Rhinolophus ferrumequinum: one gene and its partner. The protein of the gene in region 1 interacts with the protein of each later gene in a pairwise test. Links are inferred from orthologs where the notes say so. Each region holds a gene or a part of one and is shown on either strand. Other genes may lie near its edges.

Region 1 (8,168 bases):
AGAGCACAGGCTGCCCCTTACCCTAATAAAACCTGTGCTTTCTCAAGCAGGGCTCTTCAGTTTGTCCATCTGGAGTACCTCCCAAGGCCAGGCAGGGTCCTTGCTAAATGGGGGGGATTCCGACAGGAAGACACTCGATCAGGGTGGGGAGGGCCCAGAGGCTGAGGCCACATTCTTGACCAGGCCCTGCTAGGTGGATTAGGCCAAGGCCAGGGCTGGGGCTGGGATCAACTCCAGAGGGCACGGCGAGAGCCCTGGTGCCCAGAGGGACTCAAGCTCACTTGGGCTCATAGTTCTTTTGCACTTGGGCCTGGGCAGCCCCATCCATCTGTGACACCTTCTGGCCTCTGTGACCCCAAACAGAGGACTGGCTCCCACACCGCAGCCTTGCCTGGGCCACCAAGTGGCTGTGGGGCCAGGCCTTCCGCTCAGGTCAGCAGGGTCCACTCAGACCTATCCATCGTTGCTTTGCTTTTCCGAGGGCTGAATTTCTAGTGGGGTTCCTGCCCCTCCAGAGAGCCTCCCTGGACGGTCCACTGCACCATGCTTCCTACCAGCTGGGCCTCCCATAGCACCCGCTCCCTTTTCCATTCTCTGCCAGGTGTCAGTCTTCCCTGAAGCTCTTCTTGGAATGGACCCCCAAAGTCGAGGGGAGGTTCAGGATTGGGGCAAGGATGTGGAAGGGGGAAAGGAGGCTAAGCCAGAAGTCAGGCAGGCAACTAGGGGTCCTCCTGGCCGAGGTGACCCAGAGTGACCCACCTGGCAGGTTGGGGGAGGGGCTCCTCCAGGGCAGGACGGCGCTCCTCCCTCCAGTATCCCAGCAACAGGGGTGGGGTGGGGTGGGGGTGGGAGCATGACGGGCCAGTGAGGTCACAGAGCTCCCTGGAAGGCAGCCAGAGACCCTGACAATGAATTTTGACCAGAAGGCTGTGAAATTCCTGGCAAATTTTTACATCAATGGAGGCAAACACTGGAGCCATGGCCCCCTGAGGCCGAAGTCCTCTGTGCCCACCCAGTAACTTCCAAGGGCGGTGGGCCAGTAGGGTGGGGGGTCTGGGGGCGGGCAGCTCCGATGCAGAGGCAGAGTGGCTGGGTGGATGCTGGCTGTCCGTCTCCCTTGCAGGCCCATGGCTGCTGTGCTGTTGTCAGGGCCAAAGGCCACCTGGGACAAGATGCAGCCCCCAGCAACGCAGGAGTTCCCGGCAGGCCTTAGGGAGCAAGTGGGCCACCTCCAGGAACCCCCGCCCATCTGCGCCCGGAACCCAAAGGAGCTGTGTGAGTGGGGGTCCCCAGTCTGGTCTGGGGAGGCAGGGCAGGGTCGGGAGGGGCCTCCTGGGAGGACCCAGGCCCAGAGCTTGCTTCCTGCCAGGGCTAGAGCGACGCCCCCCTGTCGTGACCGACCTGGACATCCCGGGCCCCACCAAGTACCAGGTGCCGGATGCTTCCGTGCGAGAATCCTCCGCGCACCCCAACTTCAGCATCAGCCGCAAGCACCCCGCCCGCGGTGCGTGCCCCTCCCTGCGCGCCCCCCACCGCGGCCCAAGTCCTAGGAGTGGGGCCGCTCCCCCAGCCTTCCGTCCCCAACGACGCTGCCTTCACTGCAGAGGGCGGTGGCCGCAGGGCGTGGCAGACCGTGTGGTTCCAGAGCGAAAGCCCCTTCACACGGAAAACCGACTTTAACAGGGAGCGAAAGGTGGGGCCCTCTCCCAGGAGGTCCTGCGGGGGTGGGGCCTGTGAGGGACGGGGTGGGCGGGGTCTCGAGGGACGGAGCGGGGCCTGCAGCTGCGTCCTCTCTCACAGTGGCCATCGCCCGCCGACTACTACCCACTCAGCGGACCTGCCTTCCCAGCTTTCAGCTTCGGGGGCCGCCGCCCCGCCTCCAAGGCAGTGGAGGCGCGCTCGCGACCCCGGAGGCCGCAGGTCTGGGGTGCTGGTCACTGTGCCCAGCCCCCGCTTCAGGTCCCACCGCAGGTCCCGGGCGGCGAGAAGCGCCCTAGCCCCAACACCTACGACATCCTTCCCGGGAGCTGTCTGCAGACCCCGCGCCCCCCCGCCTTCTCCATGAGCCGCTCGCCCGCGTTCGCGTCCTGGGTCAGCTCCTGTAAGGAGGACTGGGAGAATGGAGGCGTGGGCGGGGCAGGTGGGAGCTGGGCAGCAGCTGGTGCTGTGGCATGCGTGCGACTCCCTCTTTCTCCCTCTGCAGCCCGTAACCCCGGCCCAGCCACCTACTACGTGGAGGATTGCTATAACTCGCGCTTCCCCTCAATACCCGGAGTGGTCATCCAGGGCGAACGCAGACCCAAGCGCCATGACACGGGCCCCTTCTGCACGCTTTAGAGCCTGCTGAACACATCCTGCCCCGCCGGTTATCACATGGAGCCCTGCCTCCCTGGGGGCCTTCCCAGGTCTCCCTCTGGAACTCAGAGACCCCAGTCTGGCCTTCTGACCCTTTGCACACCGCTGAGCCACCCTCCTGCCTGGCTGACCCTTCTGTGAGCTGTGCTTGAGGAGAGGCCAGCTCACAGCCACCACCCCCCCTCCCCGCCATCCCCCTGCTATTAGAGGCGATGTTGGTTCTTCCAAACTCTGTCTGCCATCGTGGGCCTGTCTGCCATTTCTCACCCCGTGAGCTGTCCTGCAGCTGTGGCCTGCCGCTGGTCTGTCATGTCTGACTTTCCCTGACCAGGGGTCTCCCTTTGCTTCCTCTTAGGAGCTCTCTTCTCTAAGATGGGTGGAGTGGCAGCCTGGGACTTCCTGGCTTGGGACAGTATGGGAGGGGTCCCTCTGGGCAGTGCAGGACACAGCCACCTAGCCATGCCACCCAGGGGACCGGGCCAGCTACCAGTCTACCCGAGGGTCAGGCTGCTTGCCGAGCAGAGGAACTGACTTTGGGGTGAAGGGGGGGCCAGATTCCCTGAACTGCCATCTTGAGGAGAAGTCGGCCTGCCCAGCCTCCTGGGAGGGCCCAGAGGACTAGCTTATCAAGGCCTGACCCCATTTTCCCCAGCCCCTGCCCAAAGACCCTGCGAACTGGCCCTGGGCCTTCCCTGGTTATGGCCCTGTCCTGTGGCCTGGCCACTGGGCTATCAGCCTGCTCTCCTACCCAGGAGTGGGCCTCAAGACTGCCTCCCTGCAGCTGCTGGTGGTTCCTGTCATGGCACCAATTCTTTCAGGGGTCCTTCCTGTGGCTCCCATCCTCCCCCATCCAAGCTCTGGGCCAGACCCCTTCCTGTTTCCTCTGCTAGAGCTCAGCCCCTTCAAAAAGGCACTGCAACAACTGCTCCCACAGTGGTGGCATCAACCTTCTGCAGAGAGGACAAGGACCAGGCAGTCTGAGCGCACTCACCTATGACCTCTAGGGCTGAACCAGCTGGGAGTTGAGCCGAAGCTCCCCTGGGAATCAGAGTAGCGGGATTACAAATGGTCATCATTGGGCCCTGGGCTGCCCAGCTCAGCCAGTGGGCAACGGAGAGAGCTGTGGGAGCCCTGGCCTCAGGGGCTTGGCCCACGGTGGGGGGACCAGGAGCCCTGCTCATAGCTGCACCACTAACAACCCCTTGGGCTCAAAGCCAGAAGTGGGACCAGCAGGAAGGATGGAGCCATTCCCTCCAGTTGGGCTGAGAGGGCTTCCTGGAGGAGGCTGTGGGGTAATGGGCTTTCAGGGATGAGCAAGAGTTTCCTGGGCAGCAGAAAAGGAATTTCTAGTAGAGCAAACCTTGGAAACCGAGGCACATGGAAAGGGAGAGGGTGTGACATCTGCTGCGCTACGCTTGGGGACACTGGGCTGGTGGGCTGGAAGGTGATCTGGAGGAGTTGGAGAGGCTGCAGCTCCTGGGTTGCAGGGCTTACACACTTAGCAATAGGGAACCCACTGAGGGTGCAGAGCAGGGAGTGCCCATCGGCCCTGTGAGCTGCTGGCACCGCTAAGGACAAGGGACACCACGAAAGCTAGGCCTCACATTCACAGTCTCAGCCTGAGGGCCTATCGAGTTGGGATAGCCTGGGAGTTCGATGCTCATGGTGACGTGAGGTCAGCCATCCCTTGTCCACTCCCACTGCAAGCCCAGGTCACTGCTGGGTGCCCGCCATTGGGAGCACACGTGGGGGAGAGGATCGTGCACCTGGTGGGGCCCGGGTGCAGGGGGCTGCTAGCGCGGCAGTGCTCCATTTTTTCAAGCAAAAATATTCTGTCAACTGTAAAACAAAATCGACTAGGTATTCTGTCACCAAAAATAATTTATTTGGGGAAAAAGAAAGGGCTGCATTCGGGCAGACGCAGACATGGTGAGCCATTGCACGCACAGAACAGGACAAAGATGAAGTACTTTATACAGAGAAGAGGAAGTTAAGGAGCGGGGCTGGGACGCCAGGGCTCTTACGTAACCCTAGAGCTCTTCCCGTAGAGCTCTCCGATGACGTCAGTGCGAGAGCTCCTCCCACAGGCACTCCCGATACCCTCTAGCTTAAGGTCTGTCATAAATTTGATCATTTTTCAACGTCAAAAGGCTGCTGTGAGGTCAGAAACAGGACTTTTCACGATTATAAAAATCAAATATACTCGGCTAAAATGTCAGTTCTCAAATTCTTCAAGTCGGCCACCCCCCCTTCTGTGCCCGCCCCCTCCCCCGTACTCCTTCCGGTGGGGCCCCACACACCCCGCCCTCTGCCCCCACCGGCCCCGGCGTGGGTTCTTCTGTGTCTACAGAGGATAAGGCCAGAGACGGGGGTGGGCTGCAAACCTGGCTGGGCCCAGACAGCCGCCAGGCGGGAGGGAGGGAGGGAGAGCCGGCCCCGGGCGTGGCCCGCGGATGGAGCGGGACCTGGGGGGCGGAGCCGCGCTGGTGGTTCGCGCTCTATCTGGACGCTTTTATCCTGCGCAGCCGCTCAGCCTGGCGCGGCGCAGCTCCCAGGAGCCACTGCGCGGCGGCAGTGTTTCCGGGTTGGCAGGCTGACCCGGGCGTGCGGGGCGGAAGTGGGCGGCCGCGATCGCTGCGGAGCCTCGCTGCCTGCAGGCCCTGGTCGAACTGGAGGGAGCCGGGGAGAGGAGCGCAGGCGGCCCTCGCGGCCCGGGCGAGCGGACTGCCGGCGGGCCTGCGGCGGCCGCGGCGGCGCCGGCGGAGCGCGGCGGGGATGGGGCGCCGAGCCGGGCCGGGGCCTCGGCCATGTTCGCGGGGCTGCAGGATCTGGGCGTGGCCAACGGCGAGGACCTGAAGGAGACGCTCACCAACTGCACGGAGCCGCTCAAGGCCATCGAGCAGTTCCAGGTGGGGCGGGGTGCGGAGGCCGGGCCGTTGGGGCGTGAGTCAGGCAGGGGGCGGGGTCGCGTGGAAAGTGGGCACGTTTGTCTCCCTCCAAACGGGGCGTCTCTTCCGCGGGATGGAGGAGCCGGGTGTCCTGACTTCGTGCCCCATTGACGGACATCTGGGTGGCTTCCAGTTTTTGCAGTTACAGCCAGCGCTGCTGGGAACAGCCTTGCAGCTGCCTCCGTATGTGTTCAGGGCACCCGGAGTGCCCGGCCAGACATGGCTGCGGCTGAGGGTTCTGTTTTAGCCCCCCCACCCCCAAGTAAGCAAAATTGGCCCCACGCTGACCCTCTGCTTCCTCAGACAGAGAATGGCGTGCTGCTGCCTTCCCTGCAGTCGGCTTTGCCCTTCCTGGACCTGCACGGGACGCCCCGGCTGGAGTTCCACCAGTCCGTGTTTGACGAGCTGCGGGACAAGCTGCTGGAGCGCGTGTCGGCCATTGCATCCGAGGGGAAGGCCGAGGAAAGGTGGGTGGGCAGGTGATACGTGCAGCCCCTTTCTCAGGCTGGGCACTGGCTTAGTGCTCACTGTGCCCTTGGCCACACATCGCTACCCGAAAACGGCGCCTCTTCCCCAAGTGTCCTGCCTGTGGCAACTTGTTTGTTTAGCCATCTCCTGTCTGGGGACAGGCAGGCAGCTGCTTTTGTCTGGGTCCTGTGCAGCTTCCTCAGTCGTGCGCGTCTTTCAGGTACAAGAAACTGGAAGACCTTCTGGAGAAGAGTTTTTCTCTGGTGAAGATGCCGTCCTTACAGCCAGTGGTGATGTGTGTCATGAAACACTTGCCCAAGGTAAGAGTGGTGGCCTGGTGCGCCCAGGGCACTCGTGCCCAGGTTCTCGCTTGGTCCAGGCGTCGGGTGGGATCTGGGGAGGTTTCCTGAGCTGGCTGCCCAAGCAAGGGCAGCTCGGAGGCACGTTGTCTGTCGGCTTCCCCTGATGAGCCCCGTGGAAACCGAAGCTTGGCGTGCGAGGTGGGGTGTGGGCCCTTCTGGACAGGGCTGTGTGTGTTTAGCTTGGCCGCCTGTGCCTCCCAGGGCCTGGCGGCCAGCCACAGGTGCTCCTTTCATCTGGGGTTGGGTTCGAGGTGGTCTTTGGCCAATCTTGAGGTAGACCGTGGGCATAGGCGCCGCTCATGGGTGGCCTGTGGGTCGTGTAGGTTCCCGAGAAGAAGCTGAAGCTGGTCATGGCCGACAAGGAGCTGTACCGGGCCTGCGCTGTGGAGGTGAAGCGGCAGATCTGGCAGGACAACCAGGCGCTCTTCGGTGACGAGGTGTCCCCGCTGCTGAAGCAGTACATCCTGGAGAAGGAGGGCGCGCTCTTCAGCACAGAGCTGTCCGTGCTGCACAACTTCTTCAGCCCGTCCCCCAAAGCCAGGCGCCAGGGCGAGGTGAGGCCGGGCCGCGAGCAGGTGGCCTGACGGAGGGGCCACCTGGCCAGCCCCTTCCCCACCCTGACGTGGGTGGCTCTGCTCCTGGAACAGCAGGCTTGTGCCGTGGCTGGTAAGGGGCTTGCCGCACTGTGCCCGGGTGTGGTTCTTTTGGGTTTCACGTCCTCGGTGCTCTGCTACTTGGCCAGCTTTTCAGTGAAGCTCAGCATGTTTTCTCTCAGTTCTGGGAAGTTTCTTCTGTCTTTACGTTTGACTCGTTAATTGCTTGGACAAACACTTCTTGAGTGCCCGCTCCCTGCCATAGGTGCCAGGACCCTTCAGCGACCCTGGAGTTCAGGGTGCTTGTGTGGGGTACTGAGGTCTCATGGGGACAGACACTACGCAGTGAACGTTACGTGTCAGTCACTGAGCTTGAGGTGTGGACAAGGGCTGTGGAGACTGGAGATCGTATTGGAAGCAAGGCACGGCTGGGTGGGGCAGGGGTGGGAGTGAGGAAGGGGAGCCAGATCAGGGTGTAAGGAGGGGCAGGCCAGGGTGGGTGGGGTGTCCAGGGTGACGAGGCTGGTATGGCCAGAGCCTAGAGCAAGTAGGCAAGTGGGGTAGGGGTGTCGTTGGGAGGCCTGGAGGCCACTGTGCCGACTGGCCTTTCCCAGTCAGGTGGGGGTCACTGGACCTGACCTGGTTTTAGAATAACTGCGCATCCAGGGGAGGGCTGATGGTGACAAGTGGCCAGATACTGGCTGAGTGGTGTTTTGTGTTTTTTGCCGTCTTTCATGTTCAGCTTTCATTTGGAGTTTTGCGTGTTTGGTGTGAGGTAGAATCTAGCCTCACGTTTTCTCCTGAATGTCTGGCGGCTGGTCACAGCCCCGCTTCGATACTGGCCTGAGCAGTGTGTCTCTGCTCTGCTGTCTTTGTCTTCCAGCTCGTCTTGGGGAGCCTGGCCTTAGGCTGTGGTCTGCCCGTGGGCTCCTGTCCCTTCCTCACACTCCAAGCCAAGGTCCTGTTGGGAGCCCAGGTCCTTCCTGCCATGTGGTCTGAATTCCTGCCAGGGGAGAAGATGGCAGCAGGTTAACGCATCACCCTGTGGTCCTCGGCTGTGGTCCAGCTGCTGAGCCATAGTTGTGTGCTGGGCCACCTGTGAGCCGTATCCCTGAGCTGTGCCCTCTTGTTTGTGTGCAAGGCAGGCCTGGGTCATGGTCAGGGCTGGTACATGTTAGCTGTTGTTGGCACAGAGGTGCCCAGTACGTGGGTGCCGAGACTTGGGTCACGTCCCCAGCTCTCCTCTTCGTCGGGGTACCCAAGGCCTGTGTGTCCTCGGCAGGGGCTCTCAAAGTGGCCTATTGGGTCGGTCACTGCTCCTGCTACCCCTGCCATTCTCTCCACTTGTTGCGTCCAGTCTGATGCCTGTTGGGCTGCTGCGACGTCCATCACCCAGGTTGCCGCATGTCCTTCACACCAGTGGGCTGAGGTTCAGCTCCTGT
Region 2 (8,165 bases), on another chromosome or scaffold:
GCGTACCTTGACCAGGCCGCGGCTGAACAGCATCTCCACGATCTCCTTGAGGATGGGCAGGACGCCGCTGTGGTGCACGCCCAGGCCTCGGTGCAGGAGCTCCGACATGTGCAACACCTGCGGGGACAGAGGTCGTGATTGGGGGAGGGTCGTGGAGCACCCCGTCCCCACCCGTCTCCAAGTGCCCCCTCCATGCCTGGGGCAGCTGGCGGTCAGAGCCTCGGAGGCGAGCGAGGCAGCGCTGCAGGAAGAGATGAATCTCACTCTTCTCTGAACTTGTGGTGAGATCAAGGGAGGTGAGGCCTGAGGCCTGCTCATCACAGCGGCCCCGGGAGAAGGTGAACACCACCACGGGCAGCTGTGCACGGGTGCGGAGGGAGGCCAGCAGGGACAGGTACACACCGCGGTCCTGGGGAGGGGTCGCAAAGGGGCAGAGGCTGAGTCGGAGACTGTGGGGCCCAAAGTGGGGCCAGGTAAAGAACTCCCAAGCTCAAAGCTCAAGTCCAAACCCCCGGAGGACCAGGGAAGAAAGAACAGGAAGGAACAGGTGGTGACAGGTACAAAGCCTACTGGTTCGCACCTGTGCAGGCCCCCCCTGATGCCGTGGGCTGCTTGGCCCCAAAGGTCTGTGCATGCTTGCTCATCCTCTCCTTCTTGGCCTCCACAGCTGCATAGTACTGGGGATGCAGAGGGCGGCGTCACAGTCACACCCAGCCAGGCCAGCCCTGACTCCCCATCTCCGGCTTACCCCTTTGTGTAGAAGGTGCCTCGGGAGTCCAGCAGCAGGAAGAGCTCACCCTGCGTCTTGGGGCTGTTCCCCGTGAAGAGATAATGCTCTAGGGGGACGGGGCGAGTGACAGTGCTGATCACATAGATCTGACGGCGCTTCAGTCGTCTGATGGGCGGGAGACAGCGGGGGCGGGGGATGTGGGAGGAGCAGCGCACACGCCACCACCTTCCCCCTCGGGCCTCACCCAGCCTTTTCTGGAAGCCGGATTGGAAGGCTGTCCCCGTCATCGTATCTCTAAACATGCAAAGTAGTCTGGGCCCAAGTGGGCCGTGTTCCCCAGCCCCACCCTCTTCTCCCACCCCCAAGGCTGTGGCAGTCTTGGCCCCCTACCCCAACCAAGCACTACTACAGCGGCCTTCACCCAAGCACCCCAGGACACACGCCTCACCCAATCCAGTCAGCAAATTCAAGGGCGTTGGGGACAGTGGCACTCAGAAGGATGATGGAGACGTGGTCAGGGAGCATGATGAGCACCTCCTCCCACACGACCCCGCGCTGGGCACAGGGAGGGAAAACGAGTCACGGGCAGCTCAGGGGGGAATAGGGAGCTGCTGAACCAGTCCCACAGGAAAGGACCAGGCCCACATGAGCCCCGCGGCGCTTACCTCAGCGTCGTTGATGTAGTGAACCTCATCAAAGATGACCCACTCCAGGTCCCGGATGACATCCGAGCCGCTGTACAGCATGGAGCTGGGGAGAAGAGACCGAAGGCTGACTCCCCAGTAGCTCCCGTCTCCACTCTTAACTCAGCCACTCTCTCCAGAGCAGCCTCAGCTTCCTGGCCCCACATCCACCTGTGCTGAATGCCCATCTCTCACCGAAGGATCTCTGTCGTCATGATGAGGCAGGAGGCCTCCGGGTGCAGCTGTATGTCCCCGGTGAGCAGCCCCACATCCCCAAATGTGTTTCGGAAGTCTCGGAACTTCTGGTTACTCAGAGCCTTGATGGGCGAAGTGTAGATGGTGCTGGGAAGAGGGCGTGAGGTTAGCGCGTCTCTCCACACGACATGTGCTCAGCAGCGCCTGTCCACCCTGAGCCCTCCCAGCAGCATACTGCAGGCTCAGCGGCCCCCTTTCTTCACCCAATCTGCCCTTACTCTCCTGCATGACGTGATCCCAGAAAACTTTTGACTCTCAACCTCTTCCTAAACTAAACGCACGTAGATCAGCCTTCTAACCTCTCTCCCGGCACCTTCTCATTTCTCTCTGGGCCCCCGTCTTAGTTTCTCCCCAAAACCTCCCATCTAAAAGATGAAGAAAAGATATGGGGAAGAGATGAGATTTAGAAAAGAGGCAGGGGAAACAGGAATGGCTGGTGAAGGGGGAAGGTAGGGGAGGGGACCCGTACCGTGTCATGTGTTTCTGGGCGAGGGCAATGGCATATTCAGCCACAACTGTCTTCCCCGCAGACGTGTGAGCTGCCACAAAGACTGAGTCGTGCCGTTCCAAGTGCAGGATGGCCTGTTTCTGGAACACATCGGGCTCAAATGCCCACTGTGGGACAAAGAAATACATGGAGAATGAAGAGCGGAGAGGGGCCTTCCTGCCTCTGGCTCATGGGGCACGCAGGGCAGTAGGGAGAAGGCCAGAGTGAGGCAAGGCTGGGCCTGAGGTCCAAGACTGGGCGGGAAGGCTTCTGGCCTGTGGTGGGAGAGGCTGGGAGGAGGTGGAGGAGCATGTGAGGACGGGGCCACACTACCTGGAAGGCTGGCTGGGGGATGAGGCGATAGAAATCACCAACAGGGGAGGTGACATCCACAGGAATAGCCCACTGCTCCTGAGGTAGGGCTTTGGGGAGCTCGGTGGGCAATATAGCTGTGGTCGCTTCCTGAAAAAGTCGGGGGTAGGAATGATGAAGTTATAGCCAGAAAACTTTCCATTACTACTCCTCCCAAAAGACGCTCCAATCTTCCCCTTAGACCCAACCAAGCCAGTCCACCCTCCCAGCGGCAAGGCTGCTTCTTTCCTGCCTCGACCACCCAGAAGCACCAACCTTCAACACTAGGTCCTCCAAGCTGCTTGTTCGGGCCAAGGGAGCACTGCAGGGAGAGGCTGGAGCAGTGTCCCCTCTGGTACCTCCCGGCTGTCCCACTGCCTCCCTCCCATCCTCATTTCCCCCACCCAAATCCAGGGGTTCCAGCAGACGGCTGAGGCTGAGCAAACCACGAGCTGGAGCTGAGTGATCTGAGGAGAAAGGCAAAAAAAGGGGACCTGGTCAGGTCCATCTCTGTCCTGTAAGATAAGGGCACCACTTCTCCATGCCCCCACCTCAAAACTCACCTTTGGTGCAAAGTCCACGCCTTTCTTGAAGCCAGGTGGAACGGTAAGAAGCTCTGGAGGACCGGGACAGAGAGAGAATGGGGCCACTGCACACCGTTATACAAATTGTACATTGCATAAACCTAAAGGATGTCATTCACAGCACAAACGTTGTAACTGGGAACATTTGTTGTAACCACTTTCCAATAAATGACAAAGAAGGTTGTTATGGAAAGGGTGCCTTTTCCTAATTTGCTCAAAGGCATGAAGCAGCCCAGTGATAGGCCTGGTCCCCTCATCTGCAAGGTCCAGACTTGAAGCCCTGCCGCCCAAGGGTCCATCCTGGCACCACCTCACCTTTCTCAAAGTCTATCTCCTCCTCAGCTTCTTCCCGAGTGCTCAGATCTGTTATGGTGGGCTCGTCCATTCCACCTGGGGAGAGGTTGGACAAATAAAGATTCATGAGGGGTGATACGGGAACCCTTCCTTGGAGACTGAGGGCTCCCTCCCCAACCATCTCATTTCCACAAGAGTCACCTGGCCAGAAAGGGTACTGTGTTGGATTCCCCCATAGGGACTGGGAAACGGGCCCTGGTGGCCGGCGAAGAGACAAGGAGGTCGTGGCCGTCAGGTCTGTATTCTCCAGCAGGACCTGAGGCAAGAGATCAGAGCCTCAGTGAGGTTGAGCCTGCCTCTGACCCGCCTTTTCCCAACTCTGCTTCTCATGGCCCCTGATCACTTACCTCCTTGTAGCCCAGTATCTGGCCTGTGGTTGGGTGTCTCTGGGCTTGTAGATCGGAGGGAACTGGGGCCCCCAGTACAGCCAGGAGAGACCAAGGATCCATCTTCCTCTGCCATTTTCTGATGAGAAGGAAGTAATTTTCAGGTCTTCTTTCTCCTCTGTCTCAGCTTCTTTTAGAGACCCATCTCACTAGTCCAGTCCCCTCCAGACCCCTCACCGGGCTGGGTGATCCACACCATGCAGAGGCAGCCAGGCTGGAGATGACAGAAACAACTGCTCTGCTTCTTGCTGCAGATCCGGGGCACAGGGGGGGAGGCCGTGGGGAAGCTGGAACAAGGACAAGATGAGAGAAAGTGATGGGACTTGTGTTGAGATCAGAAATGGTAGATGTCTCAGACAGACTAGGACAATTAAGGTGAAGGAAGATTTTCCAAAGGTTGTCATTTTTTACAGGACAAACGGCCTGCTGCTGAATTACCTGAGGCGCTGGTTAATAATACAGATTTTGTACTTCAGAATCTGGGGCTGGACCTAGGAATATGTATTTTTAAAAAGCTCCCCCACTAATCATGAGGCATACTGAAATTCGAGAATCACTAGCTTTAGGAAAAGAGATCCCAGACCTAAAGATGAAGAGCCTTTATCTCCAAAGGCTAGCATCTCAGCCACCGACAAGTGCTTGGAGACAGAAAGGGACTGCAACCTTTGAAAGAGCAGTTCTCAGAGCTAAGGTACCCCAGCGCTGCAGGCTGATCCTCACATGGGCTCTGACCCACAGCAGGCCCACTAGGCTGGAGTCTGTCCGGCACCAGTCCAGGCCCCGAGGACAGGTATCCAGGGAGAGAAGAGCTGGTCATACTAGACCCTACTGTAAGGAAGAGGTTTTAAGCTCAATGCGGGTCAAAGGTTAGGGTCAAAAGTCACTCACGGTGCTCTCTGGAGCCCCAGGCACATTCAGCAGCTCCCAGCGCCCAGTGCATCCCAGCTCCACAGCCCGAAGGGGCAGGTCCAGGGGCTCTAGGGGAGGTAGTACTACAGGAGAAAGGTCAGAGGTCAGAGGTCAAGGCCAATCTCTGTCTATTTCTTCGTTCCACCCCCTCCCCCTCACCGAGTCGCTCTGTCTCCAGCATCTAGGAGCCACGGTAGGGGCCAGGCAGCCCAAAAGCGCAGCGGGGAGCTGTGTGATAAGCTCCGCCCCGAAACGGGCGGAAGTGGAGGCGACTTCCGGTACACACCCCGCTGGGGGTGTGCACGAGTGCTACGGAGGGGCTGCCCTGAATTGGTGGAAGGTCGGGCGGAAGTGACTGCGCCTCGGGCCGCCTTGGTTACCGCGTTCTCCGCCCCTCGATACGTCATCGCTCTGAGCCGGCGATCCGCTGCCCGCGCGGGCGCTGCCCGAGAGCGCGGGTCCCGGTTGCCGCCCCCTCAGGTAAGGCTTTCTCCTTCTCACCCTTCGCCCCTTTCTTCCGAGCTCTTTCTCTCTTTTTCCCCTTTTCGTTGCTCTGAGAGCGCTGCGCGGGTTCCAGTGCCTCCTCTGCGGTTCTGAACCCCCGGTTGCCATACGAACAACTCCAGTGGGGAGAGGGGGGGTCTTGTGCCATCGTCTTGGCGACAGAGGGGGTATTTCTCCTCGGGCCACGGGGGGCCCCAAGGCGCTGGTGTCTGTGATTCCTAGCGAGGACGGAATGCTGGTTGACCCCGACGAGGGGGCTCGGACGGCATCCTGGCTTAAGCAGGGGGTAGGGAGAGCCAACACACAGGAGTAGGCAGGCCTGAAGGGGGGGGTCGGGGGAGTGGACGGCGTGTGAACCCCGGGCGGTGACAGTGGAGAAAGATGCCTTGGGCCCTGCCCCTGAACCAGGAGCCACCATGTTGGTGATACCCCCCGGACTGAGCGAGGAGGAGGAGGCTCTGCAGAAGAAATTCAACAAACTGAAGAAAAAGGTGAGGGAGTGTGTGTGGGCATCGCCCAACCTTTCACAGACTCTACCCTCTGAGACCACCTGGGGTGAGTGTGAGGGATGGAGGGTTCTTCTGGCTCACACCGGCACACTGGCACCTCTCAGTGTAGCCTCAGAGGTGGGCTTTTCCCAAGTCTGTGTACCTTCTCTCTTTTCTATTCACTCTGCCATGGAGTTGTCTTCCTTTCCTGTGGCTTTTAGTACCACCTAAAAGCTGGTGATTCCACGTTTGGTGTTTTTCCAGTTCCATCTGATGTCTTACTGATAACCTTCAGATATCCAAAATTAAAGCTATTATCTTCCTGTTTATACTAATCTAGTTCCTTTTCTTGCTCTTCCAAATAAGGCGTGATCACATTCAGTTCTCCCATGTGTTTAGAATCAAAATCTCATCTCTGATTCGCTGTTTGCTTCGCCAAACGTTTGCCAAGTCTTCTGAATTCTTCCTTGGAAGTAACTTCTATTTATTTTTTCCTGTATTATGTATTCCATAGATCTAGGTCTTTGCTGACACTCATCTAGACCGTTGTAATGGTCTCTCGACAAGTTTTTAGTGTTTGTTTATTTTTAACAGACTTCTTCACTCCTATTAAAACAATCCATTGAAAACATAAGACTTTGTCCCTCTTTTTCTCAAAACCCTTAAGTGGTTTCACATTGTCTGTAGAACAAAACCTTAACTTGTGGCATCCCTTTTTAGTAAACTAGAACTATTCACTAGTCCCAAGACATGCATCCCCAAAGCTTCTTATCTCTGTATTTTTGCCACAGTTTTCTTTGTCTAAAATGCCTTTTTTCTTCAGTTTCTATTATGCAGATGCTACCTAGGGTCCAGTTTAATAACCATTTGGCTTCAGAAAATCTTACTCTCAGCTGCAAGCAGTCTGCACGTCTTATAATCATTCTTGATAATTCAGTCTAGCCACTTTGTTTCTCAGATTGTAAACTTGGGGAGGAAGTGCGTCTCCTCCCCATACAAAGTAATGAATGGCAAGTTCTTATTAAACAAACAGGGTATGGATGGATGCACTCCAGAAAGCATGTAGGCGTTTATTTACTTGCAGCTCATAACCTGGGGCTCTCGTCCATCATTGACTTTCTTGTTTTCTACTTCAAAAATGTGATGCTCTGGGATACCATGGTTTGGATACCTTAAGTATCGGTGGCGCTGTGCGTGAACCGGGCCCGTGTGTAAGAGGCAGGGCTGCTTTAGTGAACTACTCCAGGGGCACCATTTGCACTGTTTTCTCTGAGAAAGGTGTCCCCTGGAGTGACGCACCCAGGGGCCTTAGGAGAGGACCTGGTCAGAGACTGGCCCTCACCAACTCCTCTCTTCTCATTCCCAGAAAAAGGCATTGCTGGCTCTGAAGAAGCAAAGCAGCAGCAGCACAGCCAGCCAGGGTGGTGTCAAACGCTGTGAGTGACAGGGAAACGGGGATAGGCTGCGAGTAGGGAGCACGGGGCTGACCTCTCGCAGCCTGGCTGACGTCATGCCTCTTTCCCTCACCACTGCAGCACTGTCAGAGCAGCCTGTGGTGGACACAGCCACGGCAACAGAGCAGGCAAAGCAGCTGGTGAAGTCAGGAGCCATCAGTGCCATCAAGGCCGAGACCAAGAACTCGGGCTTCAAACGCTCTCGAACCCTAGAGGGGAAGTTAAAGGTAAGCACAAGCAGAAAGATAGTTCAGGGGACCCCTGACTTCGGAAGGCATCCCTCCAAGAGCAATGGAGGTGGTTTAGGGAAAAAGTGATACCTGTCAATCACGGGCAAAATGCGCTACCATTCTGAGCTTCAGGTTGCTTATCTGAAAAATGAAGAAAATGGGTGACTCCTAAATTCTCCATTTTACACATTCTGCGGCTCTGTTGTGCGTGTGCGAGCTCTTAGATTGTGCTCTAAGGAGCTGAACAGGCTGAAATGGCGTCAGGTTCAAGAAGTGTTTAGGTAAACTAAATACTTGAAGGGTTTATTAGGGTCACTTATTTAAAAATCCCACACAGTCAGATAAGAGAAGTGCAAAGGAATTAAAAGAAAAAAAGACAAAACGGTAGAACAGAGGAAGCTGAGGAGAGGGTGAGGGAAAAGGAACGCCCTCTGACCCGCGGTCAGGCAGCCTCCTGCCCCACACTGAGGCAGGTCTCTACCACCTTCCCAGGATCCTGCGAAGGGGCCAGTCCCCACTTTCCAGCCGTTCCAGAGAAGCATATCTGCTGACGATGATCTGCAAGAGGTAATGGGCCCCGTTCTTTGTCCCTGAGGGCCTGGGATTGGGGAAGAGGAGCGACCTACATGCCAGCAACCAGGAATCAGCTGAACTGAAACTGGGTCTCTTTTTCAGTCGTCCAGACGTCCTCAAAGGAAATCTCTGTATGAGAGGTTAGCAGGTTGGAGATAGGACTGGGTCCCACTAGGT

What was found.
Region 2: the proteins of NELFB (region 1) and NELFE interact in binary tests that used the Homo sapiens proteins (3 or more experiments, as listed by UniProt). The link is inferred for Rhinolophus ferrumequinum from reciprocal best matches to the Homo sapiens genes NELFB and NELFE.

What each region holds. Positions count from the first base shown.
Region 1 is NC_046295.1:83,349,372-83,357,539, forward strand, and holds the start of NELFB (negative elongation factor B), read left to right. Parts: upstream 1-4,996; 5' UTR 4,997-5,162; coding exon 5,163-5,264; intron 5,265-5,606; coding exon 5,607-5,770; intron 5,771-5,991; coding exon 5,992-6,091; intron 6,092-6,456; coding exon 6,457-6,687; intron 6,688-8,168. Other genes in the region: protein STPG3, read left to right, coding at 909-1,015, 1,124-1,275, 1,370-1,504, 1,605-1,693, 1,801-2,101, 2,204-2,337. UniProt on the Homo sapiens protein: Essential component of the NELF complex, a complex that negatively regulates the elongation of transcription by RNA polymerase II.
Region 2 is NC_046286.1:2,408,731-2,416,895, reverse strand, and holds the start of NELFE (negative elongation factor E), read left to right. Parts: upstream 1-5,084; 5' UTR 5,085-5,219; intron 5,220-5,651; 5' UTR 5,652-5,659; coding exon 5,660-5,734; intron 5,735-7,097; coding exon 7,098-7,167; intron 7,168-7,266; coding exon 7,267-7,412; intron 7,413-7,907; coding exon 7,908-7,982; intron 7,983-8,090; coding exon 8,091-8,128; intron 8,129-8,165. UniProt on the Homo sapiens protein: Essential component of the NELF complex, a complex that negatively regulates the elongation of transcription by RNA polymerase II.